4 linked regions of the Pelodiscus sinensis genome follow. The protein of the gene in region 2 binds, or shares a complex with, the protein of the main gene of each other region. Links are inferred from orthologs where the notes say so. Each region holds a gene or a part of one and is shown on either strand. Other genes may lie near its edges. The genes, in order: LIMK1, PAK4, ITGB5 and INKA1.

Region 1 (8,006 bases), on a different chromosome or scaffold from region 2:
CAGCCACAGGAGGGCTGCTGCTGCCTGCTCCCAGCCCCTCCCCGTGGTCCTGCACCTGCTAGAAACCCCACAGCGCCCTCTGCTGGGAGAGGCCAGGCCTGCAGCAGAGTGGCAGGGAGGGGCCTGGCAGCAAACCGTGGGCACAGGTGGAGCTGAAGGACGTGGGGCGCTGGACGCTCCCAGTCCCTCCCCCTTGCCCGACGTGCCAGGCCCTGCCTGTGCCCAGCCAGGCATGAGGGGCATCACCCATGGGGCCCAGCAAAGCCGCCCGCACTCCCCAGCCAGGCCCCAACTGCAGCAGGGATGCCCGGTCTCCCTGGCTGGTCTGGGTCTGGCACAGCCCTTCCTGACTGCCTGAGTGCGGGGGGCTGCAGTCGGAGGTACCTGGCCGGCGCCGAAGGCCGAGATGTATCCAGCAGAGTCTGTGCTGGGGGCAGAGAGGAGCCCAGGGAAGCCAGAATCCAAAGCAGAGAGCAAGGATCATAAACCACCAGGGTGTGCCAGGACTCCACAGCACCATCCCAGTGTGGCCCTGCGGGACTGTAGGGAGAACTGCAACCCCCCCACCTCCCAAAACACCTCACCCCAAGAGTGCTGTGGGTGTGAGACAGTGCACATGTGTATATCTGTGCAAGACTGTGTGTGTGTATATGTGACGTAGTGGGGGTACTTGCTGGGCTGTGGTGACCTCTGCTGTCTGGAGCAAGACCCAGCAGGGAAAACCTCATTATGCAAAGGTGACTCAAAAACCTGTCTGACCTGCGGCCCCCCATGGGGAGAAACAAAGGGAGGTGGAATGCTGCCCTGGCTGTGGGCAGGGCTGGAAGAGGGGAAGTTAGTTCCTGGCTGGAAGGCAGGGAAGAAGGAGCTGGGGGGGGGGGCTGGGACTCCCCTATCTCAAGGGGGGCACTGAGGCCTCTTAGCCCCAGTTCCTGTAACCAGATTACATCTGTGCTGCGCTGTGCTGGAGGAACAATAAACAACCTCCATTCTACTGGCTGGTGAAGTCTGTTCATGCCATTTCGGGGGTGCAGGAGATGGGAAAATCCCGACGCGTCGTCACAGTATATTTCTGTGTGAGACAATGCACATGTGTATATCTGTGCAAGACTGTGTGTGTGTGTATTTCTGTGAGACAATGCACGTGTGTATATCTGTGCAAGACTGTATGTGTGTGTATTTCTGTGAGACAATGCACATGTGTATATCTGTGCAAGACAGTGTGTGTGTGTGTATGTATGTGTGTGTATGTATTTCTGTGTGAGACAATGCACATGTGTATATCTGTGCAAGACTGTGTGTGTGTATATTTCTGTGAGACAATGCACATGTGTATATCTGTGCAAGACTGTGTGTGTGTGTTTCTGTGTGAGACAGTGTGTGCGCGTGTACATATGTGTGCAGGACACTGTAAGAGCGAGATAGCGCACGTGTATATGCGCGCGCGTGTGTGTAAGTGAGAAGTGCACGTGTATATCTGTGTGAGTGAGATATGCCTGTGTACACACACACACACACACACACACACACACACACACACACTGCCACCTTGTGGCCACGACCAGGAGGCGACACCAGCATCTGTCCCTGGACTTCTAGTGTTTGTTGTACCCAGCCGGCCAGGCTGGGGCATGAGGCTGCCCCTGGAGGCTCCTACCTGAAGCAGTCGGTGTGCCAGTCGGCATCCAGGGCCTGCAGGTATTGTCCATCGTAAATACTGTGCCCACAGCTTGCACACACAGGCAGGTCGCTTCCTGCAGGGCCCAGAGAGGCACTGGCTATCACACCCACGTGCAAGGGCACAGCCAGGCCCAGGAGAGCCAGTCTGGCTCCAAGGGCCCTGCACGTGTTAAGGCAACCATGGGGAAAGATGTGGGCAGGGGAGTGGGTGGGAAAGGGACAGGGCAGCAGGGGGCACCGTGGGCAGAGGACCCATGTGAGGGAGGAGAAGGAGGAGCCGGCATGCATGGGCAGGAGCATGCAGTGAAGGCAGGATGAGGCGTGGGGGGTGAAAGGGAGAGGGGAAAGGGGGAAGGGGAACAGAGATTGGGCAGAGGAGGAGGAGGGGGGACCGAGTCTGCCCCTCAGCAGGCTGGACATGCAGGGTGCCAGCAGGAGCAGGGGGGCTGCTGCCTGCTCCCCACTACCAGGACAGAGGCCCTGGCGCTGGCAGCAGAGGCTGGGAGGGCACCCAGCTCCGTGGGAGGTGGAAAGAGAACAGCTTGAAAGCGGAGCTGCCCACAGCAGTAAGGTGATAGGTGGGCCCGGGGAGGGGCCGTGCGCTGGCGCGTGGGCAGGGCAGCTAGGACAAGAGGGGCTGTTGTACCCCAGGCCAGGCCCCAGCTCAGAGGAGCGGGAGCCAGGGGCGGGCACAGGATGAGCCCCCCGCAGCCAGGGTGGGGGCGCAGCTGGCAAAGGACATTGCAAGGGGGGGGCCTTGGAGGGGAGGCTGCAGGTGACCCGGCCCCTGATGCCCTGGGAATAGGCGAGGGCTGCGGACAGCCCCGGCCCCACGCGGGCCTCCTGGCGAGGGATGCAGGGGCCAGGGTGGAGCAGGGATCCCGGCGGCGCCCCCCGGCAGCAGGGCTGGGGGGCAGCTTCTGGCTCAGCAGAGGCCGGGGCTGCCCGCAGTGGGACGCGCCCTGGAGGCCTCCCTAGCGCAGAACGGGGGGGCTCGGTGCCCCGCCCGGCCCCGGCTGCTCAAGGTCACGGCGCGGGGCCCGCGGGCGGCGAGCAGAGCCCGGGGCCGGGCCGGAGAAGCGGCGCCGGTTCCTGCCCGCAGCCGGCTGGCGGGGCGCCCCCATCTGCAGCGCAGCGGCGCCGGGCCGGGCCGGGCCGCGCTACGAACCTTCCTCCTCGCCCATGGGCTCGTCCCGCCAGGTGCAGCACAGGAGCATCAACCTCATGCGGCCGACGCCGGCCTGGGCGCGCCGCCGGCGGGCTCGCTCCGGCTCGCCGGGCAGGCTCGGGAGGGCAGGGCCACGCTCGGCGAGCGGGGCGGGAGCAGCAGCCGGGGCTGGCCAACCGCGCGGCGCCCTGGGAAAGAGCCGCCACAGAAGGAGGGGAGGGGGGCGAGCGGGACCGGGACCCCTGGCAGCAGCTGGCGCCGCGGGCGATGACCCGGGCCCCCCCGCCACACGCTCAGGCGGCGGGGCTCGCCCACCAAAGCGCCTGGCTCCGTGTGTCGGTCCCTACGGTGCCGCAGGAGCCCTCGCTTGAAAGTTACAGACAAACAGCTACCCCCGGGGCTGTAAAGTATCCCGCGACCCCCCCTCGCTGAGCCCCCGACCCATCCGCCCAGCCCCGACCCGCTCACCATCCATCCACCGACCGACCCCCGACCCATCCATCCATCCATCCACCGACTGAACCCCCGACCCATCCATCCATCCACCGACTGAACCCCCGGCCCATCCATCCATCCATCCATCCACTGACCGAACCCCCGGCCCATCCATCCATCCATCCACTGACCGAACCCCCGGCCCATCCATCCATCCATCCACCGACCGACCCCCGACCCATCCATCCATCCACTGACCGGACCCCCGGCCCATCCATCCGTCCACCGACCGACCCCCGACCCATCCATCCATCCACCGACCGACCCCCGACCCATCCATCCGTCCACCGACTGAACCCCCGACCCATCCATCCATCCACCGACCGACCCCCGACCCATCCATCCATCCACCGACTGAACCCCCAACCCATCCATCCATCCATCCACTGACCGACCCCCCGACCCATCCATCCATCCACCGACCGACCCCCCGACCCATCCATCCATCCACTGACCGAACCCCCGGCCCATCCATCCATCCACTGACCGAACCCCCGACCCATCCATCCATCCATCCACTGACCGAACCCCCGACCCATCCATCCATCCATCCACTGACCGACCCCCCGACCCATCCATCCATCCACCGACCGACCCCCCGACCCATCCATCCATCCACCGACTGAACCCCCGACCCATCCATCCATCCACTGACCGACCCCCCGACCCATCCATCCATCCACCGACCGACCCCCGACCCATCCATCCATCCACCGACCGAACCCCCGGCCCATCCATCCATCCACCGACCGACCCCCGACCCATCCATCCATCCACTGACCGACCCCCCGACCCATCCATCCATCCACCGACCGAACCCCCGGCCCATCCATCCATCCACCGACCGACCCCCGACCCATCCATCCATCCACCGACCGAACCCCCGGCCCATCCATCCATCCACTGACCGACCCCCCGACCCATCCATCCATCCACCGACCGACCCCCGACCCATCCATCCATCCACTGACCGACCCCCCGACCCATCCATCCATCCACTGACCGACCCCCCGACCCATCCATCCATCCACCGACCGACCCCCCGACCCATCCATCCACCGACCGACCCCCCGACCCATCCATCCATCCACCGACTGAACCCCCGACCCATCCATCCATCCACCGACCGACCCCCCGACCAATCCATCCATCCACCGACCGACCCCCGACCCATCCATCCATCCATCCACCGACTGAACCCCCGACCCATCCATCCATCCACTGACCGACCCCCCGACCCATCCATCCATCCACCGACCGACCCCCGACCCATCCATCCATCCATCCACTGACCGAACCCCCGACCCATCCATCCATCCACTGACCGACCCCCCGACCCATCCATCCATCCACCGACTGAACCCCCGACCCATCCATCCATCCACTGACCGACCCCCCGACCAATCCATCCATCCACCGACCGACCCCCGACCCATCCATCCATCCACCGACCGACCCCCGACCCATCCATCCATCCACTGACCGACCCCCCGACCAATCCATCCATCCACCGACCGACCCCCGACCCATGCATCCATCCACCGACCGACCCCCGACCCATCCATCCATCCATCCACTGACCGACCCCCCGACCCATCCATCCATCCACCGACCGACCCCCGACCCATCCATCCATCCATCCACTGACCGAACCCCCGGCCCATCCATCCATCCACTGACCGAACCCCCGACCCATCCATCCATCCACTGACCGACCCCCCGACCCATCCATCCATCCACCGACCGAACCACTGGCCCATCCATCCATCCACCAACCGACCCCCCGACCCATCCATCCATCCACCGACCGACCCCCCGACCCATCCATCCATCCACCGACTGAACCCCCGACCCATCCATCCATCCACCGACCGACCCCCCGACCCATCCATCCATCCACCGACCGACCCCCGACCCATCCATCCATCCACCGACTGAACCCCCGGCCCATCCATCCATCCACCGACCGACCCCCGACCCATCCATCCATCCACCGACCGAACCCCCGGCCCATCCATCCATCCACTGACCGACCCCCCGACCCATCCATCCATCCACCGACCGACCCCCGACCCATCCATCCATCCACTGACCGACCCCCCGACCCATCCATCCATCCACTGACCGACCCCCCGACCCATCCATCCATCCACCGACCGACCCCCCGACCCATCCATCCACCGACCGACCCCCCGACCCATCCATCCATCCACCGACTGAACCCCCGACCCATCCATCCATCCACCGACCGACCCCCCGACCAATCCATCCATCCACCGACCGACCCCCGACCCATCCATCCATCCATCCACCGACTGAACCCCCGACCCATCCATCCATCCACTGACCGACCCCCCGACCCATCCATCCATCCACCGACCGACCCCCGACCCATCCATCCATCCATCCACTGACCGAACCCCCGACCCATCCATCCATCCACTGACCGACCCCCCGACCCATCCATCCATCCACCGACTGAACCCCCGACCCATCCATCCATCCACTGACCGACCCCCCGACCAATCCATCCATCCACCGACCGACCCCCGACCCATCCATCCATCCACCGACCGACCCCCGACCCATCCATCCATCCACTGACCGACCCCCCGACCAATCCATCCATCCACCGACCGACCCCCGACCCATGCATCCATCCACCGACCGACCCCCGACCCATCCATCCATCCATCCACTGACCGACCCCCCGACCCATCCATCCATCCACCGACCGACCCCCGACCCATCCATCCATCCATCCACTGACCGAACCCCCGGCCCATCCATCCATCCACTGACCGAACCCCCGACCCATCCATCCATCCACTGACCGACCCCCCGACCCATCCATCCATCCACCGACCGAACCCCTGGCCCATCCATCCATCCACCAACCGACCCCCCGACCCATCCATCCATCCACCGACCGAACCCCCGGCCCATCCAAACATCCACCGACCGAACCCCCGACCCATCCATCCATCCACTGACCGACCCCCCGACCCATCCATCCATCCACCGACCGAACCCCCGGCCCATCCAAACATCCACCGACCGAACCCCCGACCCATCCATCCATCCACCGACTGAACCCCCGGCCCATCCAAACATCCACCGACCGAACCCCCGACCCATCCATCCATCAACCGACCGACCCCCCGACCCATACAAACATCCACCGACTGAACCCCCGACCCATCCAAACATCCACCGACCGCCCCCCCGACCTTTCCACCCACCGACCGACCCCCCGACCCATCCATCCATGCACCGACCGACCCCCCAACCCATCCATCCATGCACCGACCGACCCCCCGACCCATCCATCCACCGACCGACCCCCGACCCATCCACCCATCCATCCACTGACCGAACCCCCCGGCCCATCCATCCACCGACCGACCCCCGACCCATCCATCCATCCATCCACTGAACGAACCCCCGGCCCATCCATCCATCCACTGACCGAACCCCCGACCCATCCATCCATCCACTGACTGACCCCCCGACCCATCCATCCATCCACCGACCGAACCCCTGGCCCATCCATCCATCCACCAACCAACCCCCCGACCCATCCATCCATCCATCCACTGACCGAACCCCCGGCCCATCCATCCATCCACTGACCGAACCCCCAACCCATCCATCCATCCACTGACCGACCCCCCGACCCATCCATCCATCCACCGATCGAACCCCTGGCCCATCCATCCATCCACCAACCGACCCCCCGACCCATCCATCCATCCACCGACCGAACCCCCGGCCCATCCAAACATCCACCGACCGAACCCCCGACCTATCCAAACATCCACCGACTGAACCCCCGACCCATCCATCCATCAACCGACCGACCCCCCGACCCATCCAAACATCCACCGACTGAACCCCCGACCTTTCCACCCACCGACCGACCCCCCGACCCATCCACACACCGACCAACCCCCCGATCCAGCCATCCATCCACCGACCGACCCCCCGACCCGTCCATCCATGCACCGACCGACCCCCCAACCCATCCATCCATGCACCGACCGACCCCCCGACCCATCCATCCACCGACCGAACCCCCGACCCATCCATCCATCCACCGACCGAACCCCTGGCCCATCCAAACATCCACCGACCGAACCCCCGACCCATCCAAACATCCACCGACCGACCCCCCGACCTTTCCACCCACCGACCGACCCCCCGACCCATCCATCCACCGACAGACCCCCCAACCCATCCATCCATCCACCGACCAACCCCCCGACCCATCCACACACCGACCAACCCCCAGATCCAGCCATCCATCCACTGACCGATCCCCCGATCCATCCATCCATGCACCGACCGACCCCCCAACCCATCCGTCCATCCACCGACCGACCCCCCGACCCATCCATCCATCCACCGACCCCCCGACCCATCCACACACCGACCGACCCCCCGACCCATCCATCCACCGACCGACCCCCCGACCCATCCACCCACCCACCGACCCACCGCCCATCCACCCACCGACCGACCCCCGACCCATCCATCCACCGACCGACCCCCCGCCCATCCACCCACCGACCGACCCCCGACCCATCCATCCACCGACTGACCCCCCGACCCATCCATCCATCCACCGACCCCCCCCACCCATCCATCCATCCAGCGACCGACC
Region 2 (7,021 bases):
AACTCAACAGCTGGCTCATCCAAGCCAACCCCATAATACAATGTTATTAAATGCAGCTGGTTGGCAACATCACCTGGTGGGCCCGGAGTAGGCAAGCATCTGCAGCAACTCCTTTACCAAGCTTCTCAGACACAGTGATGTAGGCACTCGTCAATCTCATTCTACCCCCAAATCCTCAGAGCACATTGCTAAGAGACAAGTCGAGTCATCCTCAGCGTGAATGAGACAAGAAGAGTTTCCTCTTATGAATGAATGAAAAATTAAAACTCAAAAACCAGATGTTGAATCAAAATTTGTAATGGGGGGGAAGGGGCAAAGCAAGAGAAAACCGACGCCTCTTTAGGAAACAGCCAGAGCCTCATTCCTCCCTAGTGTAACCTGACTCTGGTGAACTATCAGCTGAGTGCATTAAGGAACCCAGAAGGTGTCTGCAAACATCCTGGCTTCCTCAAAGCAGCAGTGGGTGGGCACAGCCGTCTTCCTTAGCTGAGAGGAGGTCAGGGGGTTAACAGGGAACAAAGCAGATTCTCAATGATGCGGCACCAGGAGTATTTCTGGATTTACATCTTTAACACACACACAGAGTTTAATGTATTGCTCAGGCAACAGAATTGCATGAAACACCTTCTGAATTCGTCTGATGAAGTGGGTTTTACCCACAAAAGCTCATGATCCAATATGTGTGTTAGTCTCCAAGGTGCCACAGGGTTTCTTGGTCTTTCTGAACTGATGAACTATTTAGGGCTCTCATGCAAACTTTACTCCTGCAAGTAAACTCTCTGACTCTAGAGGAATCCTTGCTGAGGGGGGTGGGGAGAGGAAGGACAGGGGGATGGATAAACTAAGGAGAAACATTGTAAAGAAGGGCTAACTACAGCACCCACGGGGGTTCCCAGCTGATTTGCATCCAAGTACTAGCCAGGCTCCAGAGAGGACCAGGCCCTACAAATTTAGTGCTAGTAAAGATGCAACATGGAAGCTTCTGGAAACGGAGGCCACATCAGTGCTATGGGCAGCCTAGTGCTGACGCTTTCTACAGCAATAGACAGAATTTCTCAGTCATAACAGCAAACCCACCTCCCTAAGGAAGGCCGCTGGGCTGATGGAAGAACGTTCCCTCTGCTCTAGCTGCCTGCACCCTGGGGCTAGGTCACCCTGATGATGGGGGCTCAGGAATGTGGCTCTCTCACTAATAGAGGCAGCAAGGTGGAGCTTGCAAATTACATTAGGGCAGGAGCTCTCCTGGGTAAAACCCACTTCTCACCTGATCGAATATATTTGTGAGTCTCTACGTTGCCCCAGACTGCTCATGGTTTTTAGTATTAAGCAGGTTAGTGCAGCATGAAGGCACCCAACCATGGATTAAAATGAATTGCATTGCACAAAACACAGAGTCCTAATCCACACAACTGGACAATCCAGGCAGGAGCCTGGCCAGCTTCCCCTCTGACCTGGAAGGACTAGCGATGACAGAGGATTTCCACCCCTATGATCTCTGTGCCAAGCCTGCCAAGAATGAGGGTGGCCAGGTGCCAGCGAGGGCTTCCAGCTCACATACGCCACTGAACAATCCAGCTGCGTCACTCCAGACCTGCTCTGGATGTGTAGGTCACCAGTTCAAGATGCTCTTTACCCAAGAGAGTCCCCACAGCTAACCAGACCCTCCCCCAGTTGGGACAGAAATAGCCGCAATCCCTGCGCTGCCTATTGGTCCCAACAATTCAACAGACAGGATGGATTAAGCTGATCGGTGGAGGCGTCTCCCTGGATGTGACGGGTGTGCAGTGCACTGCACTTACTACCCCGACGCTGCTCCCGCGATATCAAGTGCAAGACTGATGCCCATTCCTGGGTAAAATTCCCAGGACTAGGACCTGGAATCCTAAGGGACAGCACTGGAAAATCTGCAGATTAATACACACGTGTTTAACCCACCCAACGCCAAAACGGCAAAATATGAATGTGAAGACTTAATTTTTAGAGCCATTCATGGATTGTAAACACCAAAAAAGCAAAAAGATGCCTTCCACCCTTTTCTGTTGGTACCTTTGCAGAACACTCACTCGCCTATAGCCAGGTTACCTTGGCTGTGTGAGGACTAGGTTTACATCAGCAGGGCAACTAAGAGAGATAATCCCTACAGATCTTCACGCCAGCGAAAGTCTGAGGGCAAGATTTCTGCCCATATGCAGCACCGAAGTAGTTCCAACCCTGTTGCTGCCTCTGGTGCCTGATGGCAAAACAAAGGCCAGCTTGTTGACAAAAGCAGCCAACGCAGCTGAAAGAGTTCTGAACAGATCAAGAACATGGAAACAGATGATGAAAAAGAAAAGGAAGCTCGGCATTTCAGACTGCTCCCCACTTGATTGGTTTTTGTTCTAAATTATCTGTTTCTTAAAGTACTAAATGAGAAACCATCGGAAACGGATGCTGACATGCAATGGCCACATTGTTCTTTCGCCCACCCAGACACTGGCAGGTCTGGAAAGGCACATCAAATTATTCATGTCTACTAATGGGAGAAGATATGCAACCTCTCCAAGTACAGCACAAAAGCACAGGAGATGGACAGAGCCTGGTCAGACTCTGGAGGCTGACAGAGCATGACCAAAAAACCCTCCCCGTATTACAGCATCTTCCAACAAAGTGCTTGCCATAGAGAGGTGACCACAGACTGCACCCTGTCCCATCAGTTCTTTTTCCACTACACTGAGAGAAGCTTAAACTTGGCCACATCCCAGGAATGCAGTGTGCCTGACTGGATTGCAGAAGCATTTTTGTTTCCCCCCACTTGTTTGGAGCGCTTCACATCTCATTCCCTAGTTACCTCGGCTAACTGGATCAGGTTTGGCCACCAGATACACACCACTTGGATATCAGGCCTTTGACCAAGCTCCTCTGAAACAAGAGGCCGTCCGTAAGGATCACAGAGCATTAACTTGTGCTACTTACAAGGCAAAGAGGCATTCAAAAGAAAAACTTACATGCCATTTCTTCATGGGACTGCATCTCTACTGGTGAAGTGCAGGAGGCTGTGCGGCAACTGCAAACAGATGCTCCTTATTTATTACTCTTAGACTCCTCCTCCCTGTCTCCTTGCAGCTCCTCCCACAGAAGTCAGTTGGTTGGTTGGCAGAAGCCTTCCTTCCCCCATTCCAAGATTGAATTGCATGTGTTAGGAGCATTCCAGCACCAACCAGCTGGCCTGCCTACTTGCTCCTCCCAGGCCAGGAGTCAGAGATCCCGCCCACTCGGTTTGTAAATTCCAGCACTTAACCTTACCAAGCTCCCTCTGGGATCTGCTTCTGCAAGTTTCCCTGGCAGCTTTTCCAGTCCCACAACAAAAGGAGTAAGGTAACAAGACAAAAAACACTGCCATACAAAACAGGCATTCTAGTTCATCTCAGTCCCATATAACGGTGTTTCTCAACCAGTGGTACACATACCCTTACGGGTACTCGAAAGAAGTCTGGGGGGTACATCAAAACAACTGAAATTTGGAGAAAACTGAATTTGTTTTCAGTTTTACAGTGCTTTATTATTTTTGTACTTTTTACACCCAAAAATGTCATCACCTGCCCGGCTACAATTAAGTTGTTTAAAAGAAATGTATTGCAATGGTAGAAAAAAAATGGTGTGTGTCTGAAAATTGTAGGCACGGGGGGGGGGGGTACTTTATAAAAAAAGGTTGAGAAACACTGCCATATAATACGCCACAACACTGAAATACAGCCACCTCTTGGGTGGAATGTGGCAGCAGCTGCACAGCACAAGCCGTATACACACTAGTTTAGAAGAGGAAATGAAGCAACCTGTGCCCTGTTAAAATGGAAGGGGTTTGTTATGTTTGAATTCACACAGGGATTAAGTGGTACTCAGCACTTATATGGCAGCCTGGTCAGAGGATCTCAAAGAGCTTTATATACTTAAACCATTAATGCCTATCCCAGGGGCTGCTGAGACAAATATAGGATGAACCTCTCTGGTCCGGCAGGACCACGGATGTTGATGGACCAAAGGATCCCAGTCACGGACCTCAATGGGTGGGAGCTCAGTGTCCTCGAGACAGGGAGCCCCCGGAGCAAGGCCAGTGACTGGGGCAGGGAGCCCTACTGGCCAGGAGTGCAGCCAGGGGCAGGAAGCCCTGCCAGTAGGCCCAGGGCAGAGCACTGGCCAGATCAGCGACTCACAGGGAAGCCCCAGGAGAGCCTGAGCCTGACCTCCTCTGGTCCAGCAAACTCCCTCATTCAGGACCACTCAGGTCCAGGGTGCCGGACAAGGGAGGCCCAACGGGTATTACTCCTATTTGCATTAGGAATATAAAATCCTGTTTAATAGTTAATCAAATACAAGTTACATTTAACCAGTTAATGGGTTCCCGAGGGCAGATACAATACACAGAGCTCCTAACCTGAGTCCTATGCTCTCAAGCGTGTTCCCTGCGCAGGTCCAGTGGCATTTTCAGCAAGTAGTGAACACAAAAGGAGAAAGGCCTCTCTTTCACTTCCAGCAAAGCCCAATCCACCCAACGGCTCCTTTGGGACAGGAGACCTGGACTCAAAAGGTGACTGATTAGATTGCAAGTGGAGGGGTGAGGGGCAAGAATACAGGGGAAGGCAGAAGTATCCTCCCAGGTGCTAGAGACCTCATGTGTTGGCCAGCTGTGGTCACAGACCTCAGTCACTGTAGCTAGCTCCCCCTGCAGTCTGCCCAGCTCCCACATGAAGTGGGAAGGCATCCAGCCGGTCTCAGATGTTCTTCAGCTGCTTGTGTATTTCATGTACCAGGAGAGACCCTCTTTCCCAGCCTGCAAGATTTCCCTTCCCCCCAGCACATCCTATAAAGAAGCTCAAAGCCATCTGGTACTCCTGAAGCACAGGGCAAGTTGGGTATTTGTGGAGTGTGGGGAACATCTTTCCCCACACGGATACCCCACCCCCATCCAGTTTCTTCTGAGTAGCAAATGCTGCCCTGTCCTTAGGGAAGGGACAGCCTACTACTCTGTCCCACCAAGTACGAGGGTCCCCATCTTGGCTTGTGCTTAGGCTCTACAATAGGCACAATTAAGGAAAACAGCTTCCAATGCCTTGATTTTCACAGTGACCTTCTGGCCTATTAGAGAGCCCCCCAGCCCTCGTGCTCAGGAATCATTCTCTTCACAGAGAACCAGCATCCACAGGGCTGGCCAAGCACTGCTGTGTCACCTACCTGATTTGCTGACTCAGGGAAACCTGCTGCCTGCATTCACCTGAGTTAAGCACTAGTGAAAAGCCTCAATGCCCACAACTATGCCTCCCTAGTCCCTATTAGTCACACTGGAGTGATGGCCAGCTTTTTGTATCATCCAGGAAAAGAGCTTCACCCCACTTCCAGGTAATGACTCAGTGTCACAAGCCTCCCAGGGGATGGTAACCACCTCACACCCTCTTTTCACTGTCCCAAGAAAGTTTCTTGCTAGGATCTTTGGTCCCCAGTGAGTCAAGTTTCTCCTTTTTGTCCCAGCAGAAACCTGCAGCCAGCAGCACAATACCTGAGTCTTATCAATGAAAAAAGCAGGAATTCACTACCCTGTTGTGAGACTATTTTCAAAAGTGCTGGGCTGGGGTTTGGCTTATGCCTGCTTCTCAGGAAGCACATGGGTCTTTACACCAGATGTATTTTGCACATGCATGCGTGTGTGTACACACACACACACACACACACACATACACACACGATATTAGTATATTGGCAACACCCCCTCCAAGCCTTATGCAGGACTGGTCAGAGCTACAAGATCAACTACTGCCATCCAATTATTCCAGCTCAGTATGGACATTAATCTTGCAAAACTCTACCTTATGGGCTTTTTCCCCTAAAAGGTTTTGCTTTAGAAATTATATGAGGCAAATCCCATTGCCACTGGACTCCTGGGTTCTTCTAGCCCCTGCTCTGGGAGGCGAGTGTACTTTGGTGGGCTGGAGCAGAGAAGGCTGGGGGCACCTCAAGTCCCTTCTCCAGGGGGAAGCTACCACGGTGGCTGTTTAAACCCTACATTCCAAGGCTAGGAGGGAGCAATCTAGGACTCAGGGTGATTTTTTGAAGCAGCAAGGACTAGCTTTGCCATCCTCACATTTAGGAAGCAGGTTTGGGATCTTGGCTGATGAATTTTCATGATCATTTTGCCCAGCTGGTCTAACCCTTCCCCTCCCCTGCAACATTCCCCTTACTGTTCCCCTCTTGCAGCTCCACACCAAACTGTGCTCCAGTTAGAGTGACACATTCCACAGCCTGCAGTCCTAACCCAGGTCACATTCCCTTTATCTCTCTGCCTCGTTTAATTAGTCAGCCATTAACCAACACTTTTCCCAGCCATGGATAAACAACACACAGCAGAGCACTCCTTCCTGCCAGCACACACCCAGGAGTGTGTGCACAAACCCTGGCAACTCCTAGCACCACCTTCACATACCAAAGTAATACAATGAAGAGGAGAGAGAGTCTGACTGCAAGAAAACCCATGGGTTGCCAAAAAGCTGGGTTCTTCCATATATCCGGGAAGCAGGCTGCTGTGGGGTTCCAAGTATGGAGCTCCCCAAACAGATCTGCCTTATCCTGACTTAGGCACACTGGTCAGAGTAAGTCAGCCTCACCCCACCCTGAAAAAGCCCTGAGTGATGTCATTTGCACACTTGCCTTTGTCTTGAAGCACATTCTGTTTTCTGCAAAGAACATCTGAGCTCAGTGGCGTAGCAGTTCTATGGACAGGGGGTAAGTTAAGCTCAACTAACTCGCACGGCCCCCACTGAGAAGTGGCTGAGCTCGGTTTACCCTGGCTGACACTGCTGGTTCTGGTGGCCGTGGAAATGAGTTATTGGTATCATGGTAACACCTAGGAGACAAGCATGGACCAGGGCCCCACTACAGCACGTTCGTGACAGTTGCTGCCTGAGGGAGCTTACCAAGACACCCTGCCATGCATAGTATCAGCTCAGCTGAAGCAACAACAGACAGAAGGTGCCTTATAGTAGCCAAAGCTCTA
Region 3 (7,957 bases), on a different chromosome or scaffold from region 2:
TAGCACTATTCACAGGATGAATAGCTTGTAAATGAAGCTAGTTAAAAATGTAAACACAAAGGATACATAAATGAATAGTGAACTCAAAGCAGTTTATTGGGCTTTCTTTATAAAAGACCAGTACTACACTAACAGAGAATGCCATTTCCAGTATTATCAGAGCTGTTTTAATAGGTGTCCAGGAGCCATAAAAGCATCCCTGCTGAGGAGAACAATGACAGCTCTCTAGAATAAGTGCAATCTTCACATTAGGCCTGAACCTGAGCCAGGAGCAATATAAGGAAAGGCAGCCTAGATATCAACATATAATAAAACAAGTTTATGGTTTTTATTAATACTGTTATTCTCCATCTAGATCACTGAAGGCCTGTAACCCAAACACTCAGAGAAGCCTAACCAAAATTCCAGGAAGGAATATTTCTTCAGTTGAAGTTGATTATAATCAACATTATTCCTTTTCATGCCAAGTAGAGAATGGTTTGAGTTGTAAAATACTGATCCACAAAGTTTAAGGTGGTCCACATCCAGGGATGTGGTCTCTAGACCACATTCAATAATAGCAAATCTCTACCAATTCTGAATGTAAGGCATTAAAATGAAAAAAACCCCATGAGGACCTAGATATTTGCCAATGAGCAACAACATGCAAGTTCTTTGCACTATGGAGCAAAACACAAAAATTGTTTAGAAACTATTGGAAATTAAAGCCCTTCATAAAAATTGCTCTCTAGTCAATATGACTCTTGGCATGCTCTCTATTAGTCTCTCAGGGCACTTAGAGAAAAATAACAGGCCTGTTCAGATAACTACTTCTTGTGCTATTGTGACAATTTTTGCTGCACCTGGATACAAAGCCCTGGTCAACACTGTTATTTCAGAGTAACACATGAAACACTACACTACAAAGCCAAACTACACTACACAAAGCCGTCCACTCTACAAAGCCTGTTATTTTGAAATAAGGGGCTGGTTACTTCGAAATAACTCCTGCTTTCCTCGGGGTATAACGTGTATTTCAAAATAGCAATAATGTGGACACTCCACTGCTGCTATTTCAAAATAACTACTCCCCAGAGTCATTCAAAGTAATTACTCCCCAGTGCTTCCTTAGGCTCTAAGTCAAGGTAGCACATCTCCATTAGGGGAGCTGGCTTCGGACTAATTTCAAGGCTGCCCTGTAATGCAGACACACTATTTCAAAATAGTTATTTTGGGAGTTATTACTTAAAAATTAGTTATGTAGTGTAGACACGTCCAGAGATCTAGTAACAGAAGGGTAAGCTGATCACATGAGGTTTCCTGGGCTTAGCTGAAGACAACACACTTCAAGTGTGATTTCTTAAAGCTACAGAAGTTTTGAACAACAAGGCACAGGTGGTTGTTATTTACCACTGTGATTTTTGGAAACTGAAAAAATATATGATAAACAGTAAACATTTTGGAATATAAAACACAAACAAAACACAGAAGAAAAATCAAGAGAATCTTTGCACTGGTTAACTGCTCTATTTAATTGGGACTAACTTAAAAGTACAGAGCATGAAAGTTATTTTTGGTTATGTGGTCTCTGGGATTTTTTTCCCCCCATTCGGATTGATAGTAAAAAGGGACACACCTATCCAAAAACCCTTGAGCACCCTGACACCATTTACAAAAATAAAATGTAACAACCTGCCCCCAAATTTGATGGAGTTGGCTGTTTTCTGAAGCACAGGTAAAACAAACTCATGCTTTCATTGTTTGGCTTAACTAGGGGAACTATGGACTGTAAAAGGATGATGCACGTGCATGCACTTGGTGAGATCTCTCCCTTTCCCGGTGCATTTCTGAAGGTGTTTCAGAGTAACTCTGCACTGCATCATCAGCCTTACACCAGATACAATTCTCCATGAAACTAATTCAACTCCTTTATCAAAAGCCACTTATGACAGAGCCAACCCAGGCATTCAAAACACCTCTCCCCGACATGAACAGTCCTTGGCTCGCAAGGCGGGGAGGGGAGGACCTACTACAGAGATCTCTTCTGGATAAATGCCCCCAATCTGCGGTGGCTGCCCCCTCAGTGGTGGGCGAAGGGAGCTCTGAGAGAGACAGCGCTTGGACAGAGCTTTTGAGTCGAAAGGCTCTGGACTGGAGAAAGCCCCAGGACCAAGGCAATGGAATTCAAAACAACAGGTTATTTACAACCTTCAAACCACAAAGTGTTTTCAAGGAGCCTTTTGTCCTGCAAGAGGCAGCCCCAGGAAGGGGGGGGGGGGTTCCCCTCTAAGAAAGGCGGAGAGGGGACCAAATCCAGAACTGTGGCCCCCCGAATTTGGTGCTTGCCAGGACCCCCACAATTAGTCACTTCCCTCGCCCCACCCCACGCCGCACGCCCCACAGCGCTGCCTGTTCCCATTCGCAACCCCGCAACGAAAACTCCTCAGTTTGCAACTCGAAACAACCCGCCGGGCCCGGGAGCCAACTTACCCCTGAGGCTGGGGAGCAGGGAGGAGAGGAGCAGCAGGCAGGCGGCGCTGGGGGGAGCCAGCCCCCGTCTCCGGGGCATGCCTGCAGAGGAGCCCGCCGCGCTCTGCTTCCCTCCCGCCCGGCGGCGGCTTTAGCGGCGGCAACAGCTGGAGCCGCAGCTGCCTGCCCGGCAGGGGGCAGCGCGCTGCTCGGCCGCGGCGGCAGGAGCGATGCCGGGCTGGCGGGCAGGCATTACTGCCCCGGCGGCCAGGTCACAGCGGCCGCCGCCCCGGGGGGACCATGCAGCGAGCCCCGCCGCGCCTCCCGCCCTCAGGGGATCCCCACCCCGGCCATCAGCAGCCGGCGCCGGCCTGGGCTGCAGCGCCGCGGGCTCACAAGCTGCGTGGTGGGACCGCCCCGTTCCCCAGCCCTCGGAGGAATCCCTTCATCGCGCCCTGCCCGGCTCTGGCTCACGCTGCTGCTGCTGTCCCCTCCCTCCCCGCCTGCTCCGCTCCCTCCTCCGGTCTCCTCCCCCTGGGTCTGCCCCACGCTTCCAAGGCTCAGCAACTTTCTGCCTGCAAGACGGAGCGATTGAGAAATCTCCCCCAGCTGACCCGTGAGCACGCAGGGCTGCTGAACACTTAGCTGCCCGCTGGGAGTCCTCGCCCGGCGCACACACGCCAATAGACACACAATCGCTCCCAGGCTCCACCCAGACACACAACCCCTGACCTACACACCCTCACAGCACTCTGCCCCCGGATACACAGCACGCACAAGACTTTCAATTAAACCCACACAATCGCACACGCCCCAGACAGTTCAAACACATACTCTGAGGTATGCAAACAGCTACAAAGACGTACCTCACACAAATTCTCAACCCACACACCTCCTGTCCAAATGGGTATGGTTTTATAACTTGCCATGGCTTGGCCGAATTCACTTTTTATTTTTTTGTAAATTCAGTGGCTAATGTCAATGTTTATTCCTAAACATTTTATATTTTTATCAACTTTAATTTTTAGAGTTGTGAGAAATTGTCACCTAAGAAGGAGCCTAGTTATTATTTAGTGATGGCATATGCTGAGATTCAACAAGTAAAAGTTTCATAACCATTTAAACACAAATTGTCAATATTAAATGTAAAAATATACAGTTACAATACAAATATACAGTATCCTTAAATCAAACTAATACATTTTCAAAACAAGTTTTTCTTATTTGGTCTGTCTATAAATGTTTATTTTCAATAGAAGTATTTTTCATCAGTTGTGTACACACTGTGAAATCAACATTTTACTAATACAAATTCAATTCTTTTAATGCCTGCCCTCCATTTGCTTACATTAATGTCTTGTAGTGCATTTCTGGAAACATAAAGAACAATTCAGATCTATAGAATCGCCTGTCTACTGTTAACTCCAAGTGGAAGGATTATTTAAATATAATTCCCTGAATTTCCTCGCTACCTTCTACAGTTTCAGAAGCAGGTTCAAAAAAACATATTTTCTATCCATTTGTAGCAGTTAGAAAACATTTCAGTTCTAGAGGCCGACTGTGGGTTTATTAAGGCGTTTCAGTTGCTGTTTTGATTTACTACTTTCTTTTTCATGGATTATAACCCAGTTCTGTAATATTAAAGGAAAATTCCAGTAATTAGTTATACTAGTTTAGGCTTGAATTCTAAAAGCTTTTCCACTACCTGTCTGGCTGGATTGAGACAGAGTATGAGCCTAAGAGACACGAAGTGCACACATCTCCATTCCTAAATCTAATATTTACATATGTAAACATTTACATATGTAAATATTATAGTGTTCAGAGTTATTTTTGAAAAAATGGTCAATTGTGTTGTCATAACTAGGAAAGATTATGAAACTGGATTTATTCTAACTATTTGTTATCTATGTTCAAACCTTCTGTTAGGAATTGTTGACACACAAACGTGCCACTTTCACTATACCAATATATATACAGCAGTACAAACCCCTTAAGGTGGACACAGTTGTACCAGGATAAATGTACAGCTTCTTCTCACATGGGAAGGGGAATAAGCAGTCTTAACCCTGAAATTACAAAACCCTAAGTCAGACCCCACAACAATCATGCTGGGTTGGGTTTGCTTATTGTTTTAAAGATTATAATGTGTATTTGGCCTGCCTTGATTTTTGTACTTCTTCCACCAGTGCCCAGTCTGTGTGTGTGGGAGACACAATTAGACTGCCAACACTCCTAAATTTATGTGATACACTAAAAAAACAACAAATAGTCTGGTAGCACTTTAAAGACTAACAAAACATGTAGATGGTATCATGAGCTTTCATGGGCACAGCCCACTTCCTCAGATGACGAGAGTGTTAGATGTCCAGAACTAAAATAAATAGGGGAGAAGGAAAAAAACGGGAGGGGGGGGGAAACAAGAAGAGGTAGTGAGTATAAATATCCCCTTGATATTTTTATAACCACTACCTCTTCTTGTTCCCCCCTCTCTAATTTTTTTTCTTCTTCCCCCTTCTTTTCCCCCATTTATTTTAGTTCTAGTCATCCAACACTTTGGTCATCTGAAGAAGTGGGCTGTGCCCATGAAAGCTCATGATACCATCTCATGTTTTGTTAGTCTTTAAAATGCTACCAGACTATTCCTTATTTTTAAAGTTCATTCTGTACAGACTAACTCTGCTACCCCCTAAAACTTTTAAATTTATGCAGTAATTTTGGCCCCCACTACAGGAACTTTTGCCCTCACATCCACCTTAACCCTCTGCTAAACAAACAATCAGGAGCGGCCCTAGACAAGCTGCCGGCAACTGGCGCCCTGGGCGAAACATGCGATCGGCGCGCCCGCCTCCAAAGCCCTCAATGGCCGTTTAACTTAGCGCCCTAGGTGACCACCTAGTTTGCCTGTATTGATGGGCCGCCACTGCAAACAATCAGTGCTATATCACAACACCCTACCCCCTTCCTGATCATTTCTGCCCATTCCCTCACCCCTGCTCCTCTTGCAACACTTGGACCTTCACTTTTGCAACCCTTCCCTAACAGAGATCCCCTTCAAACCGTCACTTGATATACAGGCATATATAGGGATATACTTACGTCGGATCCACACTTATGAACGGGGCTTTTCTCGCCCCGGAACTCGCGGGTGGCGGGACCACTCAGACGCGCAGTAGTCCCGCCACTACATCCTCCGGGGCGAAAAAAGCTGCTCCAGGTGTCCCTGGTCTGCTGGGGGGGGGGGTCCCCAGCAGACCAGGGACACCCGGAGCAAAGCCTTGGAGGCGCGTGACCCCGCCGCCTCCGCGGCTTTGCTCCGGGTCTCCCTGGTCTGCTGGGGGGGGAGGGGGCGCAGCTAGTGCACCCCCCCCCCCCGCCCAGCAGACCAGGCTTTTGTTGTGGATGCCTGGGGTAGAGCAGCTGGGGTGCTGCCGGGTTGGTCCTGGGGGGACCTACCCGGCAGCGCCCCAGCTGTTCTGTCCCAGGCTCCAGATTCAGCCGCTGTTGAAACTGATCAGTGGCTGATTCCAGGAAGCTGGGGGCAGAGCAACTCTGCCTAGGGCTTCCTGTAGTCAGCCCCTGGTCAGTTTCAGCAGCAGTGGCTGAATCTGGAGCCAGTTCCGAGTTACGTACAAATTCAACTTAAGAACAAACCTACAGTCCCTATCTTGTACGTAACCCGGGGACTGCCTGTACTGAGATACCACTGAACCTGCCTACCTGCTCTTTGTGGCACCCCACCAGCCTGGCCTGCTGAGCCAGATCCTCTAGTCTCCTCCAGCGATGGTACAGAGTTGGGGTCACAGCCCCCAGTAAATCAACACAGACACTGACATTAGCTCTGGGAAGGGTTAGTAAAAGGGAGTAGGCACAGCATTCAGGTGCATAGCCTCAATGGGACCAGAAAAATCTATCTTCCTCTGTATAAACTTTATACAGTGCAATCTCATAAATTGTTCACCCAGTTTATCAATTAAAAAGTTATGCACAGCTGTTGTTCTGTGCCAGGATAATATTTACACTGGGTTTATTAATAAAATGTGATTTTATTAAGTATAAAAAGTAGGATTTAAGTAGTTGTAAGTAATAGGAACTTACTTTTACTTCAGGGGGGAGGGATAGCTCAGTGGTTTGAACATGGGCCTACTAAACCCAGAGTTGTGAGTTTAATCTTGTAGAGGCAATTTGGGGCAAAAATTTGCCAAGGATGGTACTTGGTCAGGCTGTGAAAGCAGGGGACTGGACTGGATGACCTTTCAAGGTCCCTTTCAGTTCTAGGCGATAAAAAATTAATTAATGGAGATTGCCTAATTATTTTTACTTTGATCTATCTGCTGAGCAAAACAAAATGTGCCAGCTAAACTGAAGACACTAAGGACCTGTCTACACTAGGAAATTATTTCAAAATAACTTATTTCAAAATAATAATTCCCAAAATAATAATTTTGAAACAGCGTCCCCCCACTACGGGGAAGTCTCAAAATTAGTCTGAGGCAGGCTTCATTAATGTGGACATGCTCCTTCAACTTCGAGCCCCAGGAAGCGCTGGGAGTAATTAGTTTGAATTACTCTGGGGAGTAGTTATTTCAAAATAGCTACACCGGATCGTCCACGCTACCATTATTTCAAAATAACTATTCAACATTAGCATTATTCCTCGTAAAAAGCAGGAGTTATTTTGAAATAATGGGCTTGGTAGTGTGAACATTCTGCTTGTTATTTCAAAATAAGGGAAATTATTACAAAATAACTCCCTAGAGTAGACCAGAACTAAGAAACTTGCTACATATAAAATTTCACCCTGAAGTTTTTAACCAGCATCTGTCACAGACTGGGCAGCCTTCCCCATCTGGGCCTAGTCTTAATATTCAGTTCCACATGTTTGCAGCAGACATCTTAGATGGCAAACAGGGGTGTCCTGGCATCTGGCTATCATCCCAATTGGTTTCCTGCTTATATACAGATTTTACCCAAATCTGGAATCCTTTGTGTTCAGTTCAAACTTTTCTCACCTTCAGTGAGAAAGTATGATATCCAAGATGGGTTCCAACATCAGGTGCCCTGGCCACATGTCTTGTAGGACCTGCCATAGTCCAGGCTTATAGGAAGAATAAGACTATTCACAGATCATTGTCCCAAGTACAAGGCTTTTAAGCTCCTTGAGTACTACTAATGGCCCTCACTTAGCACATCTACATGAGTAGTCAGGTTTATACTTTAAATACAGGAATGACACATGCACACAAATATACACATTCAGCAGTTTATAATTTCTTAAATGACATGTTACTTGAAGTATTTTATAGAAAGTGTTTTTAGTTACGTCATTGCTATTTATAAGCATTTTTTCCATGAGGAATATGGAAACCCCTTTTCTCAGGCCAGAATTGTGTAAGACTGCAACAGGGTTCTTTTCTCCCCCTTCCAGGCTGGGGGGTGGTTGTGTGTCTCCCCTTTTTTGCTCCTCCCACCTCTTCCTTCCCCTCTTCCCAGGCCTGAAATTACAGCT
Region 4 (7,765 bases), on a different chromosome or scaffold from region 2:
GAGCTCGACACAGCCCCGGGCTCAGTGCTCCTCCGGCGCAGGCAGCAGCTGCTCGCTGGGAACCCAGGGGTCCGGCCGCAGGCCCAGGGAGCTGTCTGAACGGGGCTCCACTCTGGACTGCAGGGCTTGTGCTTCCTGCTCCTGTCACCCCAGCATCCAACTCCTGAGATCCTGCCCCGGCCGACTCCTGACTCCAGTACAGTCCCCGCCCGGACCAGCCACAGAACTCAGGCTCGCAGAGGCTGGGAAGGGGGCTGCCGCCAGGCCGAGGGGCTGGGTTCTTGGGCCTTGTATTTCTAGTTCCAAAGTCTGAGCTTTCAGAACAGTCGACTGTTACTCCTGCACCCCCGCCCGGTCGGTCAGCGCTAAGCCCGATTTCCTTGTGATTCCTCCGCACGTCTCAGGGCTGCTTGGCTTTGCCCCGACTGATGAGAGAAGCCAGGGCCGCCCTCAGCCCTTTGTGCCTTTCTCTGATTCGGCTGCTGGGCGCTCGGGTCTCTCAAAGTGGGAACAATAGCTCTGGGCTGGCCAGCAGCCAGGCCAGTTATCAGCGCCCATCTGGAGCGCCAAGGAGCAAGGAATGGGTCTTCCTGCTGCAGGATTTTCTTGGCTGCTGGGCCAGTTTCCTGCGGGTAACAGGCCTGCTGGGAATGCAGCCGAAGCTCTGCGTCATTGTCCAGCCCAGGCAGGGGACCCAGCGTGGCCAAGCTGTGCTGAGCGAGGCGGGGCAGAGGCCTTACCAAAGACCGGCTCAGTCAGAGCACAGTGGGAGCATGGCCGGGCTGTGCGGCTGGGGCCAGGCACATGGAGCAGAGTCTCTGCAGTAGGCTGGGTCGCTGGGAGAAGAATCCACATTGCCCGGCTTGGCTGGAAGCCCGGCTCAGCACTCGACGGCAGCCACTGGTTTGCTGGGCTTCACAGAGCCACTCTTCCCTTGCACGAGTGCCTTCACAAGCCATTTTCACCAGGGCTTCCTCGTGCATCAGGCTTCCTCCCAGGGGCCTGTCACTTGCTCTGGGCTGTTTCCCCTTCATGCAGCTTTGGCATCAGGGCCTGTTCCCCTGCCATGGCCCTTGGCCCTGGCTCTCTCGTCCCTTCTCTGTGCTGGTTAGGCCTCAGCTGGAGGACTGGCTCCAGTTCTGGGCACCAAATTTCAGGGAAGATGTGGAGACATTGGAGACGATCCAGGGCAGCTCATCCACTCTCTTTGGTCTGCTTCATCCATCTGTCTGCCTGGGCACGGCTGTCTGTCCGTCTGTGTCTGCCTGGGCGTGGCTGTCTGTCTGTCTGTGTCTGCCTGGGCGTGGCTGTCCGTCCGTCTGTGTCTGCCTGGGCGTGGCTGTCTGTCCGTCTGTGTCTGCCTGGGCGTGGCTGTCCGTCCGGCTGTGTCTGCCTGGGCGTGGCTGTCTGTCCGTCTGTGTCTGCCTGGGCGTGGCTGTCCGTCTGGCTGGGCGTGGCTGTCCGTCCGGCTGTGTCTGTCTGGGTGTGGCTGTCTGTCCGTCTGGCCATGGCTGTCCGTCCATCTGTGTCTGGCTGGGCGTGGCTGTCCATCCGTCTGTGTCTGGCTGGGTGTGGCTATGTGTCCATCAGCCCTTCCCTCACGTGACCCCCACACTTAGGCTCATTGTCTGCACTGTCTGTGCCCAGGGCACCCCCAGAGCACATCCCGCTCTGCCAAAGCCAGGACTGAAAGCAGATGCCCTGCTGCCCAGCAGTGGGTACAGCGCTAGGGCAGCAGGGGGCTGTAGGCTGGGAGTGGGGGGGTCGAGTGGCCAGGGGGCAGTGTTCCCTCTAACCTGTGCAGCAGCCCAGCTTCCCAGGTGATTCATCGCCCCCCACCCCCGCCCCACGGGGAGCCCTGAGCCTCTGTCTGGGCGGGGCCGATGAAGCACTTGTCATGCTGGGCTGCAGTGGCTGGGGGTTGCAATGGCGGGGGCACGGGGACTGGAGGCGGGTGGGAGCCAGGGCTCTGGGCTGGGAGGTTTGTGGGCTGGGGGCTAAGCTGACCCCCAAGGGGGGAGCTGGCGAGGGCACAAGGCAGCTGGCACGTGGGGCGCAGGAAGCAGCCCTGCTCTCAGCCGAGGCCCCGGCTTCTGCTCCAGCCCCAAGCATGGCCCGGCTCGCAGCGAGCGCAGCCGTTCCATTGCAGTGACCGGGGCACCGCTGCTTTCCAGTTGCCCTGTGCACTTCTGTCCAGTGGAGGCTCCAGGGGCCTGGCCCAGGGCTGGGGAAGGGGCAGCCAATGTCAGCCCTAACCCCTCCGTGCCAGGGCACAGGCATGGGGTGGGGCAGCACAGTCCAACGTGAGCCTGCGACTGGCCCTCCAGGGCAGGGGCAGCCCCACAGCTCTGCCCACGGCCTCGCCGCCATGCAGAAAGACTGGACGACACGGCCTGAACCACTGCTCTATTCCAAGGTCCCTCCTGCCTGCCCGGAGCCAGGCTGGAACCCAGGAGTCCTGGCTCCGGGTGCGGGCCAGGCTGTGCGCGCTCTCTCCAGGGAGCTCCAGGCTGTGGCTGTGGAGGGCCCAGCAGCCGCCCCAGCTCGGGAGCCGGCTGGCGGGAGGGGCAAGCACCCGCAGACGCCTTTTGCCGGAACCAAAGTGGCAGATTTTAAATGGTGTTTAGGGTTATATACAAATATGCAAATTATTTGCTAAAATGCAAACTGGTTCGCGGAGTGATTTGCATGTAGTGCCAAGGGGGCAGTCGGCTCCTTTGCCATCTCAGCACATGGGCCTGCCCAAGAGCCCAGCCGGGCTCTGCTGGGCAATGGGGCAGCCTAGGAGGCCCCACGCCAGCCAGAGCAGGAGTGGGCATGTGGGGGACCAGGGCACATAATGAGTGCAGGGGGCTTTCCCCAAGCAGGACTGGGGCAAGGGGCCCAGCTCTGGGGCAAGTCCCAGAAGGAGACATCAGCTTGGCTGTGGAGAGCCACAGCAGCCTGTCAGCCCCTGGTCTGGGCGGCCCACATGGCAGCAGAGCTGAGGGGGCGCAGCGACCCTGGTCCAGAGGGTGCCTGCAGCGCTCTCCCCCTTGGCGTCCAGTTCCCAAGGACTCGGGGAGAAGTGTGTGTGGGGGGGGCTGCTGCAGAGATCACTAGCATTAGGGCAAACCACAGTCCACAGGTCATGGCCACGAACCCAAGGGTCTGCATGGAGAGCTGGGCCAGGCCAGGAACGTGCATGTGCATACACACGTGCAGACACGAACACGTGCACCGATAGGTGTGCAAACACACACGTGCACCTAGACATGCCTGCAAAGCCCCACACAAATGTGTATATGATCATGCCCGCACACAGACACAAGCACAGAGCACAGCTGTGCACTAGATGCGCACGCACGTACACTAGATGCGCACGCACGTACACTAGATGCACACGCACGTACACTAGATGCACACGCACGTACACTAGATGCACACGCACGTACACTAGATGCACACGCACGTACACTAGATGCGCACGCATGTACACTAGATGCACACGCACGTACACTAGATGCGCACGCACGTACACTAGATGCGCACGCACGTACACTAGATGCACACGCACGTACACTAGATGCGCACGCATGTACACTAGATGCACACGCACGTACACTAGATGCGCACGCACGTACACTAGATGCACACGCACATACACTAGATGCACACGCACGTACACTAGATGCACACGCACGTACACTAGATGCGCACGCACGTACACTCAAGAGAGGATTTCTCACCTGGTGCCTAATGCCCAAAGGAGCTCACCTGGCATGAGGCCCCCGCCGCCTTTACCAAACCAGCAGCCTCCGGCCGGTGCAACCTGAGCCATGTCCCCTTGGGACACTGGGGGCTTGGACCAGGATCCTGGGTTTAAAGTGCAAGAGAACTCCCCCCCGCCCCATGCGACCCCACCCCCTGCAGGTGTATGGCCTGGGCTGCAGGAGGAGGTGGGAATGGTGGGGCTGGGGTGCTGCTCTGGGGCGACTCTAGACTTGGCCACCTGAAACGCAGGAGGTACTGGGCCCCAAAGGGCATAGTGCTGGGGCCAGTAGGGGCCCAGGGCTGGGGGGCCGATAGGGGCATCTGGTGCCCGGGGCTGGGGGGCCGGTTGGGGCGGCTGGTGCCCGGGCTGGGGGGGGGCCGTTTGGGGCGGCTGGTGCCCGGGCTGGGGGGGGGGGGCCGGTTGGGGCGGCTGGTGCCCGGGGCTGGGGGGCCGGTAGGGGCGGCTGGTGCCCAGGCTGGAGGGGGGGGGCCGGTAGGGGCGGCTGGTGCCCAGGCTGGAGGGGGGGGGCCGGTAGGGGCGGCTGGTGCCCGGGGCTGGGGGGCCGGTAGGGGCGGCTGGTGCCCGGGGCTGGCGGCTCGGCCGGGGCCCCTCGCGCCGTCGGGCCCCGGGATGCCCGCATCGGGCTCCAGCCCCCGCCGCCCCGGGAGTCACGTTACTGCGGCCGCCCATTGGCCCGGCGCGGCCCGGGAAGGGGAGGATCGGGGCTCATTGGCTGCTCCGGGCGGGGGCCGGGCCTGGGACGGCGAGCGCCGGGACCAGCTCGCGGCTCCGGGCCAGCGCCGGGCGCCCTGGGCTCCAGCCCGCCGAGCCCCGACATGCGCCGCGCCCGGCTGGACGCCTCCCTCGGCCGCCTGCGCGCAGAGGTGGTGAGTGGCCGGCGGGGCAGGGCGCGGGGGACCCTGGCAGAGGCCAGGGGCGCGGGCCGGGGCGTCTGGGGCGCGCCTGGCACCGCGGGGCGGGTGGCCCCTGCCCGGCTCCGGGACTCCCCGCGGGCAGACCTGCCCTCTCTGCGCGCTGGGCTGCCCGGCTGGGGGTTCCCGCGGAGCGGGGCGCTGTCTGGCCACGAGTTCCAGACGTGAGCAGGGACTCGCGAAAAGCCAGAGGAGCCTGCGCCCCCCCCCAGCCGGGCCTATGGTCCCGGCGCCCCGCGTGACCCGGGCACTGCCCCCTTGTTGTCCCCCCATGGCCCTGGGCATGTCTGAAAATCTGGCTCCTTGCCAGGGTCCCGGTTCCCGTGTGGGGCAGCAGGCGGGAGCGCTCAGCGTGGGGGTTGCGCTGTCTCTGTGGGCGGGGGGGGGTTCCCCTCGCTTTAGGCTGCTGATACAAAGCGGCATTTTTGTTGTTTTCCAGCTGATGTCAACAGTGTGCCTAAGAGCTGGTTGGGGTGACAGGACAGTGCCATCAGAGATGGGGGGCAATCAGCCACCAGGCACAGTGACATCATAGCGGGGAGAGCCAATCAGCCACCAGGCACAGTGACATCAGAGATGGGGGGACCAATCAGCCACTAGGGACAGTGACATCAGAGCGGGGAGAGCCAATCAGCCACCAGGCACAGTGACATCAGAGATGGGGGGACCAATCAGCCACCAGGCACAGTGACATCAGAGATGGGGGGGGACCAATCAGCCACCAGGCACAGTGACATCAGAGATGGGGGGACCAATCAGCCACCAGGGACAGTGACATCAGAGCGGGGAGAGCCAATCAGCCACCAGGGACAGTGACATCAGAGATGGGGGGGACCAATCAGCCACCAGGGACAGTGACATCAGAATGGGGAGAGCAATCAGCCACCAGGGACAGTGACATCAGAACGGGGAGAGCCAATCAGCCACCAGGGACAGTGACATCAGAGATGGGGGTGAGCTAATCAGCCACCAGGGACAGTGACATCAGAATGGGGAGAGCAATCAGCCACCAGGGACAGTGACATCAGAATGGGGAGAGCCAATCAGCCACCAGGGACAGTGACATCAGAGCTAGGGAAGCCAATCCAACCCCCTAGGTATAGTGACATCAGAGCTGTGGGAGCCAATCAACCACCAAGGATAGTGATGTCAGACCTTGAGGAACCAATCAGCTACCGGGGGTGGTGATGTCAGAGCTGGGTGCACCAATCCCCACACACTGGCTCAGGCTTTGGGCTTGACAAGTGATAGTAGCTGCTGTTGAGCCCTTGGGGGTCTGCCCTGGGGCTGAACAGGGAGGTTGTGTAGCTGTCCCAGAGCCCTGGGCATGACCTCTCTGCCTGCCGGGGGCCTGGCCCTGGCCATCGGGCCTGCCTGCTGGCCGGGTATTTTCCTGAGCAGCAGCTCAGGGCGAGTCTGGCCCAGTTCAGGCTGGAGCTTCGGCGGAGCCAAGCGGGTGCCAGTTTCTGTGGCATTGGAGGCCAGGCTGCCAGGCCCAGCTGCTCCAAGCCACCCCCTGCAGGACTATGCTCAGGCAGCTGGCTTGGCCCAGAACAGCCTGGGAGCAAACCCAGAGCTGGACACCCCCTGGGTCCCTTGGCCCCCGAGACTATGTGCCCCATGCTCTGCGGTGCAATTAGGAGCTGGCACTGACACATCTCTGGGACAAAGCCTGTGGAGTGAGCCTGCCCTTGGTGCCATCGCCACTGGCAGGGCCACAAGGGTGGCGATGGGTCGGTGGTTGTTCCCCTTGTGGCACGGGAGCGGCCTGGGCTCGGGCCCCGTGTCTCGGCTGTGGCAGTTAGAGGGGCCGGGCTGCAATTGCCAAGGTTTCCTTCTGGGAAGTGCAGCCGCGCCCTAAGCAGCGTGCTGAGCGGGAGCCGAGGCGGTTAGTGGGCGTGGTGGGACGTGGGGGTGGTAGGAAGCACGAAGAGCCCCACCCCAAAGCATGGAGCTGGCAGCACCAGGGAGTGTCTCAGGCCGGGCTCGCCTTGCTCAGGCCCTAAACCCGTCTGCTCCACGGCCTGGCGGCGCCTGCCCTCGCTCCCCTCCAGCCACGCACACCCCTGCTGGCCCCTACGCATACAGCACCCAGGGCTTCCCTGCTGTCGGCAAGAGTGGGGGCTAGTGGTTAGAGCAAGGCCAGGGCATGGGACAGCTCCGGGGGTGGCACTGAAAAGGGATCTGAGCAGGTCCTGCTGGGGGTGCCCTGCATGGGCCTGGCCCTGCTGCATAGTTCAGCTCTCTCCTGCCTGGGCCCAAGGCCTGCGCCGGCTGCGTGGGGAAGCGCCCCTGCCCCGTGGTCTATTCCCAGGCTTCTGCCCTGCACTGCAGGGTTTGGTGGGACCCAGGGTCCCCCCACGTGGCTCTGCCCCCCAGTGCCGAGCTCTCCCTGCCCCTGCGTCTCTAGCCAGGCTTGGCTTGCACAACTCCAGCTGCTGCTTGCTTGTCACGTCCCGGGCTGTGGCTGCAGCTGCCGGCAGGGCGGGGCGGCTGCTTGCTCACCCCGACATGCTGCAGCACGCGGCGGGGATGGGCCGCTGAGTGCAGGAGCAGCCGGAAAGTGGTGCCCTGGGGCTGGGTGCGCGTCCAGGCAGTGGGGCCTTGCGTGTGCGGCTCCCCTCACAGCTCCATGCCCAGCCCAGGCAGACGCTGCTGCAGCTGCAGAGACCACTGCCCGGGCCCAGCCTGGTGCCCTCAGCACCGCAGGACGGGCTGTGGCCGCCGGAGAGGAGACAGGGACTCAGCCCCCAGCTGGCCTCACTGCCTGGGAGCCCAGAGCCTAGTGAGTCATCTGGGAGCTGCCCTGGGGGTGAGCAAGGTGGAGACTGCAGGGAGGCAGCCGCTACCTGGTGGCCATGAGGACGCTGCATGTGGGGGGAGGGTGGGGGTGGGACAGGATGTGCATGGGGGAGGGTGTTGTGTGGGGGGGGTTATGGAAGTGGGGGGAGCAGGAATGTATGGAGGGAGCTGTGGGGACAGGGCAGAGGATGCATGGGGTGGTGGTAGGGCATGGGAGGCCATGATGTGTATGGGACATTTGGGGGCAGGGCGGGGCAGGGCATGGATGGGAGAGGTC

Evidence for each region.
Region 1: the proteins of PAK4 (region 2) and LIMK1 are in contact, whole or in part, in a crystal structure (PDB 6WLY), measured with the Homo sapiens proteins. The link is inferred for Pelodiscus sinensis from reciprocal best matches to the Homo sapiens genes PAK4 and LIMK1. Residues at the interface, in NP_001014831.1 of Homo sapiens: Glu329, Gly330, Ser331, Gln358, Arg359, Leu362, Thr404, Asp440, Lys442, Ser443, Asp444, Phe461, Leu475, Val476, Gly477, Thr478, Pro479, Tyr480, Trp481, Met482, Glu507, Phe516, Pro520; in NP_002305.1 of Homo sapiens: Lys505, Arg506, Tyr507, Thr508, Val509, Val510, Gly511.
Region 3: the proteins of PAK4 (region 2) and ITGB5 are in contact, whole or in part, in a crystal structure (PDB 7S46), measured with the Homo sapiens proteins. The link is inferred for Pelodiscus sinensis from reciprocal best matches to the Homo sapiens genes PAK4 and ITGB5. Residues at the interface, in NP_001014831.1 of Homo sapiens: Gly330, Ser331, Gln358, Arg359, Leu362, Thr404, Lys442, Ser443, Asp444, Asp458, Phe461, Leu475, Val476, Gly477, Thr478, Pro479, Tyr480, Trp481, Met482, Glu507, Glu512, Phe516, Asn517, Glu518, Pro519, Pro520, Met524; in NP_002204.2 of Homo sapiens: Ser762, Arg763, Ala764, Arg765, Tyr766, Glu767, Met768, Ala769, Ser770.
Region 4: the proteins of PAK4 (region 2) and INKA1 are in contact, whole or in part, in a crystal structure (PDB 4XBU), measured with the Homo sapiens proteins. The link is inferred for Pelodiscus sinensis from reciprocal best matches to the Homo sapiens genes PAK4 and INKA1. Residues at the interface, in NP_001014831.1 of Homo sapiens: Ser331, Gln358, Arg359, Glu361, Leu362, Thr404, Asp440, Lys442, Ser443, Asp444, Phe461, Leu475, Val476, Gly477, Thr478, Pro479, Tyr480, Trp481, Met482, Arg489, Glu507, Glu512, Phe516, Asn517, Glu518, Pro519, Pro520, Met524; in NP_976248.2 of Homo sapiens: Gly178, Arg179, Ser180, Arg181, Gln182, Pro183, Leu184, Val185, Leu186, Gly187, Asp188, Asn189, Cys190.

What each region holds. Positions count from the first base shown.
Region 1 is NW_027465956.1:66,397-74,402, forward strand, and holds the start of LIMK1 (LIM domain kinase 1), read right to left. Parts: upstream 3,007-8,006; 5' UTR 2,907-3,006; coding exon 2,849-2,906; intron 1,755-2,848; coding exon 1,658-1,754; intron 1-1,657. UniProt on the Homo sapiens protein: Serine/threonine-protein kinase that plays an essential role in the regulation of actin filament dynamics. Acts downstream of several Rho family GTPase signal transduction pathways.
Region 2 is NW_027465946.1:419,723-426,743, reverse strand, and holds the start of PAK4 (serine/threonine-protein kinase PAK 4), read right to left. Parts: upstream 3,011-7,021; 5' UTR 3,010-3,010; coding exon 2,985-3,009; intron 1-2,984. UniProt on the Homo sapiens protein: Serine/threonine-protein kinase that plays a role in a variety of different signaling pathways including cytoskeleton regulation, cell adhesion turnover, cell migration, growth, proliferation or cell survival.
Region 3 is NC_134717.1:11,252,624-11,260,580, forward strand, and holds the start of ITGB5 (integrin beta-5), read right to left. Parts: upstream 3,002-7,957; 5' UTR 2,549-3,001; coding exon 2,470-2,548; intron 1-2,469.
Region 4 is NC_134721.1:46,340,358-46,348,122, reverse strand, and holds the start of INKA1 (PAK4-inhibitor INKA1), read left to right. Parts: upstream 1-4,754; 5' UTR 4,755-7,318; coding exon 7,319-7,498; intron 7,499-7,723; exon of another isoform or gene 7,724-7,765. UniProt on the Homo sapiens protein: Inhibitor of the serine/threonine-protein kinase PAK4. Acts by binding PAK4 in a substrate-like manner, inhibiting the protein kinase activity.